Sus scrofa: one gene and its partner. The protein of the gene in region 1 purifies or fractionates together with the protein of each later gene. This does not show direct contact. Links are inferred from orthologs where the notes say so. Each region holds a gene or a part of one and is shown on either strand. Other genes may lie near its edges.

Region 1 (3,826 bases):
ACTAGAGCAGGGGTATTCCCAGGAGCACATGTCAGTGCACCAGATGGTATACGAAGCCCTGGGATAACCAGGGTGCCCCTTTCTAAGATGTCAATTATTATATGGAAAGAAATACATGCTTTTAACAGCAAAAAGAATAAATATATGCAAAGAGTAAAATACAAAATTCAAATGCATGAAAAACAAAAAAACAAAAAACAAAACTGGAGACCCTGAAAAGGTGATCAGCCATCTACAGCTACATTCGATACTTGGGAGTAAAAGTCATTATCCTCTCATTCTACAGCATTATTGGTTAAAAATTCTGAGAAGCGTCACTTTAGAGAAGCAAGGGGCAGGTGGTACCTCATATGCCATATGCCACATGAGAAAACCTACATAGGGAGAGGAGATAGGAAAGGAGGAGGCAAAATGGATTACATACAAAGTCAAGCTTAGAGCCTCATGTTATCAGACATCAGATATTATTTTATTATTATTTTAAGTTTGTCATTTGATGGCTGTGTGACCTTAAACAAATCATACAATCTCTCTGGGCCTGCTTTAAGACCTGTGAAATGAAAAGGTTGGAAAGAAGATATGGGTCTTTCTCTTACACTAAGACACCTATTGCAGATATATCATGACCAATGAAATAGAGTAAGACATGCAATTATTTTACTTGTACATGCCTAATGCTGGATGCTTTTGTCAACTCTGAGGTTTTAGGTTGGTTCAGCCCTACTTCGGTCAGTTATCCCAAAGGGACAACTTTGAGATTCTTCGGAAACTTGGATTTTTCTAGACTCCTCTGCCCCTCTGGGGACCAGGAAGATCTGATACAGGCTGGACACCAGGCCAATGAATACTCAGCTGAAGCTTTAGAGGCTCCAGAATTGACTCGGTCTTCCGAGGCCCAAATCATGTCTCAGGGAATTCAAACTAATCCCCACAAGTTACAAAAGTGAATATTTACTAAGCACCTACTATGAGCCAATTCAAAACAAGGTTATCAGCAGGCAATTAAAAAAGAAATAATTGATGTCTTTGCTGAACTAAACAATACATCTGTAGTGATATGGTTAATACACAGCAATCGAGCAGATAAGCAGATTAAGGCAGTGCACTGCCAAGTGTTGCATACGGATCCTAAGTGCTGGGGGAATTCAGCACAGGAAAGGATGATTACAGAGAGGGTGGCATGGGATCGAATGGAATGGGGTAGGGGTACAGTTACAGAGAAGTGAGGACAAAGATCAGAGTCCTGAAAAAAGGAGAACTGGGATTAGGCTCAAGAAGTTGGCAAGTTGCTCATTATTCTGGCTTTAACAGCCACCAGCTCAATACAAATCTACCACCTACTTGGAATACAGGAACGCCAGCAGCTTGTCCAGCAGGTGAAGTTTCCCACTGGCCTCAATGAGGTGGTCTCCAATTTCAAAAGGCTCTGGTTCCACACCTGGAAAAGGAAGAACTCACTCCCAGTAAACATGTTCCCAGTCAGGGTAGACTCTGAACAGAGAAGCTGATGGCTGGGCTACAGAGAGGCCAAGCTGCTTCTAAGTGATAAAGGGCCCAAGTCTCATGCCTCTTTGAAGGCACTTCATAATTATCTGTTTGCAATGATAATCTCAGCACTGCCTAACATCTATCACAGAGCCCGGCACACCCCAAAAGCCTAACAAATGCTTATCCAAGAAACAAACCCACTCTCTAGGAAACTGAGGCATAGGGAGATGCTAAGGACCAGAGACCAGAAACTGAAATCTTGAGATGCTCACCCTAGAAAACAAATCAAGAAATATGCTTAGATGTATAAACTAGTAATTCTCAAAGTGGGAGTAGGGGAATAACCTGGAGGGCTTCTTCCAAAATCTACATGTTCACAACAACCCCCTTCTTCAAAAAAGGGGGGGGGGCTCTGATATGCACCTCATTAAGATTCACTGATATTTTAAAACAACTCATAGTGCTGCCTGGTAAAGATTTCCTTAAAATGACTACAACAAACCCTCTACATTGATGATACCAATCCTAGAGCTCTCACAGACACAGAAGCCTGGAACTGTCCCATAGGCGACCAATCAGTGTGAATAAAAACAATTTAAAAACCCAGTATGAATGAGAGTACTACATATCAATATGTGTAGAATGCAGCTAATGTAGCACTTAGTGGGAAATTTACAGATATCCGTAAGATGAAAGGGAAGCAATAAAGGAGGCTGACAGGAGTAGGTATAAGGAAGGTAGAAAAGAAGAAAGTATTGTCCCAGAAGCTAAAGGAAGAAAGTATGTCAAGAAGTGATCAATTAGGAGTTCCCATTGTGGCTCAGTGGGTTAAGAACTCAGCTCAAGTCTCCATGATGATGTGGGTTCCACCCCTGGCCTTGCTCACTGGGTTAAGGATCCAACACTGCTGCAAGCTGCAGTATAGGTCACAGATGTGGCTCAGATCCCATGCGGCTGTGGCTTATGGCTGGCAGCTGTAGCTGATTCACCCCCTAGCCCAAAAACTTCCAGATGCCACAGGTGTGGCCGTGAAAAAGAAAAAACTGAAGAAAAAAAAAAAAAAGAGGTAATTATTTGCTTCAAAGGTTTTGAGAGGTAAATTAAAACATGAACTGAAAAACATTAGTTGAGCTATGCAGAGACCACTGGTGAACTAGGAATGGCAGTGACAAAAGGCTCAATGAGTGGGTTTCAAGACAAAGAGACATCTACTTAAAAAGAAATGATCAGATAAATCCATATTATGAGACATCTCATAAAACAACCAACCTTGATTCTTTAAGACTGTCTGTTTCATGGAAGACAAGGCAGAATTAAAAAAAAAAAAAAAAAAAAAAAAAAGCTGAGGAATATTTGCAGATTTATAGGAAAATAAAGAGACATGATAAATGTAGTGTAGGATCTATAACTACATATTGAATATAAAAAGAAAAAAGAAAAACAAAGTCATAAAGGGCACAACTGAAGAAATATGAACATTAGATAACATTCATACAAAAAAATTAATGAGAAAATCTGGGGAAACAGACAGTAAAAAAGGCAAATCTTTTGAAGAATTTTGCTATTAGGTTGGCCACAGAAATGACAATGAAAAGTAATAGGAGAAAAAAGGGCACTGCCTCACCATCAAACAAATATGGGTGATCCACACACTTTCGAAGTTGGGACAAGACATTCTGAAGTTTAACTTTCTTTGCCATCTCATTTTCAAATGCATCTGAAATTTTTAAAAAAGAGAGAGGCGGACTACTGAACAACAGGAAAAACTTTGTAAGTTTCCATACATAACCTTACTCATTTCAATAATATATCTTTCAAACCTACGTTCACCTCCCAAATTTAACTGAATTGCATTAACAACAGCACATTGACATAAAGTTTTCTTAACCATCATCACCTTGGTTTAAGAAGGATGCCTAACTATAAATCAAACTCAGGAATACTTTGTTAATCTTTCGCAGAATTCTAAATTTCCTTCTTTAATTGCTATTATAGAGCCAAGGGACAAAAAAATGCAAATTGAGAGAAAATTCCACTCTTCTCTCTGCCTTCCCAGTCCCAATTCCTCCCAGTGAGTATGACTTAAGAAAAATGTTTTGCAGTGTGTTAAAATACTTCTAAGCATGACTGGGATGCCTAGATGTATTTGCTGAACTACAGGCAAACCAGGAGGACCGTGAAGGGGAGGAAATTTCACAAATGTAACAACTGATAAAGTCTTGAGTTATTAAAGATGCTCTATCACAGTTTCACTGCAGCTGACCTGAGTACTATTCAGAACACAAAATTCCCTCCCAGGAGTTCCCGTTGTGGTGCAGCGGAAACGAATCCAACTAGG
Region 2 (3,826 bases), on another chromosome or scaffold:
TTCATAGTTATACATAGGGGTAAATGTTCACGTCTATCAATTATGTTGTCATCACATCCTGGAAATGGTTACCAAGATGACTGGGGTTTATCTGAGCAGTTTCCACTCCACATCAAATATAAGTAATTAAGAGGTCATTTTTAATAGGGTAAGACCAGGCTTACTCTTTGTACTTGTGGTAAGTACACATTAAAAAAGTTCTGTCTTGCTAGTGAAAATATTTACTTGACTCAAAATATCTTTAATTGGTTAAACTGAAACTGTTATTCATATTACTTCAGAGGAATCATATTTATTTTCTAAGTTGGTCATAACATAGACTTCATGCAAATTTTTTGTGAGGGAGGAGCAATTTCATCATTCAGCTATAAGAAAAAATCGTGATTATATTTAGAGGGTAGAAATAAAATGTTAAAGTAACTTATAGGACATTATAAGAAAACTGCATGATAAGAATTTGACATATTGTTGAACAGGTAATTTAAGAGACATTTAAGGTTTTGGGGGCAAAGGTTATATTTAAATGAAAGCAAATTTATAGTTTTCTGATTACTTTTCACTGATGTTTGACACAATTGTAAAGATTTCATGTAACTGTGAACTCCTTTTCTAATACTTGTAGATTATTTCAAAGTTAACAAACTAGAGACATAGAAAATGGTATTTTAATAACTTTAAAATATGAATCAGGAGTTCCGTCATGATGCAATGGAAACAAATCTGACTAGGAACCATGAGGTTGCAGGTTCCATCCCTGGCCTTGCTTAGTGGGTTAAGGATCTGTGTTGCTGTGAGCTGTGGTGTAGGTGGCAGATGCGGCTCGGATCTGGAGTTGCTGTGGCTGTGGTGCAGGCCGGCAGCTGTAGCTCTGATTAGACCCCTAGTCTGGGAACCTCCATATACCACGGGTACAGCTCTAAAAAGCAAAAAAAAAAAAAAAAGGATAAAAAATTTTAAATATACATATTGCACGAATGTTGTAGTTTCACACTTTTACGCTTAAATTTACATTATTTCTTTTGAAACATGCTTTACTTTTTATTTTTCTGATTTGTCTTATAGGAAATGCCACAATCACGTTTTACAAACACATTACACAATACAGAAGTGAATAAAGTGAAAACTAATACACAGAGAAATGAAACCCCGGTAGAGGAACTTGGTGAGGTTTCTGAACAAAAAATCACTGCTAAGGGAACACCAAATAAAGTCGACAAGGTGAGGAGCTGTGCTGAGAGCTGTTCAAGTGCCCAAGGCACATCCTCCCTGGACGAATCTCAAAGGTCTCATCCTGAGTCCAGCTCTCATCCTTTCAATCCTGAAACTTTGCATGCAGAGGCAACCAGGTCAGTTCCACAGGGTTCTGAAGAAAACAAGCTCAAGAGGACATCTTGCATGTATGGGGCAAACTGCTACAGGTAAAATGAAATTACGGGTAGCATATAATTCCATCATTTCAATAGCAGATAGCTATGCAGATATATGCTATAGTGTGTTAAAGGCCTAATAAAACCCAATAGGCTAAAGGTTAGGAGTTTTTATCATGTGTCTGCTCATTTGTACTTTCTCAATATGCATTCTAGCAAATCCTGCTAGAGGCTTTTAAAATAATAGTGAGGAATTAAAAGTTTCATTTGTGGATATGCTAATTAATGCAAGGATCTGAACTGGGGGATTCAGACTTGAAAACAGAATCACTCAGACCTTAAATACATGCTTATTTAATGTCTTATTTAGATGTTAGAAAGATGGGCTTCAAAAATAGTTGTATGTAAAATAATTCTCAAGAAAATTATTGGTTGTGTTTAGGTATCTTACTATACTGGTGAGGTTTTTTTTGGATTTTGTTTTGTTTTGTCTTTTGTCTTTTTAGGGCCGAATCCGCGGCATATGGAAGTTCCCAGGCTAGGGGTCTAATCAGAGCTATTGCTGCTGGCCTATGCCAGAGCCACAGCAATGCCAGATCCGAGCCACATCTGCGACCTATACCACAGCTCATGGCACTGCCGGATCCTTAACCCACTGAGCAAGGCCAGGGATTGAACCTGCAACCTCATGGTTCCTAGTCGGATTCATTTCCACTGTGCCAAGATGGGAACTCCTTGTTCATATTTTTCTAATGGTGCTTTTGAATCACCATGATGCCTTCTAAAACAACTGAATATATATTCTTTGAATTGATTGGTTACTCCCATACTTCATTTAGTTACCTGGTACCATATTTTTTGATTTCATACTTTGTGAATTCAAACTAATTCCTTATTTGTAGTCTCTTGTTCCTCTATGTTTGTACTGACATGCTGATAAATACATAGCTGTATTTCAGAATTATTTCTGTGCCATTACAGCTCATCAAACCAAGTGTCTTATCAATACATTCTAGTACAGGTTGTCTTTTATGCAATAGCATGCTTATGTCACATATTCTCTTAATTTTTCATTCATGTCTCTCTTTAAAATGCAATGCCATTTAGGAAGTTCCCCTGTGGCACAGTGGGTTAAGGATCTGGGTGTTGCCGCTATTGTGGTGCAGGTTGCAACTGCAGCATGGGTTCAATCCCTAGCCTGAGAACTTTCACATGCTGTGAGTGCAGCCAAAAAAAATGCAGTATCATTTAGTACTTGAGTAACGATATTGTTCAATTTCAACAATTATAATTTATGCATCTATTGACAGTTTTATCTATCTGCTGTGGCCTTAGGTCTGCATGTGGAACATAATTTATAAACTTGGGGAATGGAAGTATAAACTTTCTGTTATTTTGGATTTCTGAAAAATCCTGTTTGATATTTGTATTAGTTTACTGTGGCTGCCATAACAAAATACTATGGACTGGGTGGCTTAAATTGCTGAAATTTATTATCTCACAGCTCTGGAGTCTGGAAGCCCGTGATCAAGGTGCTGGCCGGTTTGGATTCTCCTGCAGTCTCTTTCCTGGGCTTGCAGATGGTGCCTTCTCATGTCCTCACATGGCCTTTTCTCTGTTCATGCACATCCTGGGTGTCTCTTTCTCATCTGATAACGACATCAGTCAGTTGGATCAAGGCCCTACCCTTATGACCTTATTTAATGTGAATTAGCTCTTTAAAGGCCTTGTCTCCAAATATAGTCACATTAGGGGTTAAGGTTTCAGCATATAAATGTGTAGGGTTGGGGAGGTATGACACAATTCAGTCCCTAACAGTGTTGGGCTTGTATTTGTCTTTGTTAAATGTGATTGAGTATTTTATCAAGATTATACTGAATTCATTCATATTTGATGATGATACATGTTAGTTTTAATCAGTCATAGCTTATGAATAGTTATTTTACTTTTTCACTGATTTTCATATGCATAATTAATACCTGAGAAACATTTGCCATTGAAATCTTAAATCTTGAAGACAAAATGTTTATATTTGTAACAAAGGGGGAAAATAACCTATTTTGAGTACTCGTTATGTATGTACATCATAACAATCAGTTAAATGTGTCTTTTCTCCAGCCTCAATGCCATGTCTTAGCTCATACCATGACCTCTCTGGGACAAGTCATCACACTTGCCTTCAAGTTCATATTTTTTCTTCATTGTTGCCTGAGTCATCTGCCTTCAAAAAAATAAAAACAAAGAATAAGAGAGAGAAGACAAAAAAATCTCACAGTATTACTCCCTTTTACAGAATTGTTTGGAGGCTATAGCCTGGCTTTCTTAGCATAGTCCAGAAGGTCCTGAACTCTCAGTAATTCTTTGGATGCACCATGCTGTTATGCTGTCATTTGTCTTTTGAACATGCCGTTCCCTTTTCCTCACTGCTGTCCCACTTCAAGATTCATTCAGTTCCTTTC

Evidence for each region.
Region 2: the proteins of CHD1L (region 1) and APLF purify together in Homo sapiens (affinity purification with mass spectrometry; 4 studies listed by BioGRID and IntAct, counting the BioPlex papers as one, with this or other methods). This does not show direct contact. The link is inferred for Sus scrofa from reciprocal best matches to the Homo sapiens genes CHD1L and APLF.

The regions. Positions count from the first base shown.
Region 1 is NC_010446.5:100,295,317-100,299,142, forward strand, and holds part of CHD1L (chromodomain-helicase-DNA-binding protein 1-like), read right to left. Parts: intron 3,206-3,826; coding exon 3,113-3,205; intron 1,439-3,112; coding exon 1,342-1,438; intron 1-1,341. UniProt on the Homo sapiens protein: ATP-dependent chromatin remodeler that mediates chromatin-remodeling following DNA damage.
Region 2 is NC_010445.4:73,785,840-73,789,665, reverse strand, and holds part of APLF (aprataxin and PNK-like factor), read left to right. Parts: intron 1-1,062; coding exon 1,063-1,418; intron 1,419-3,826. UniProt on the Homo sapiens protein: Histone chaperone involved in single-strand and double-strand DNA break repair.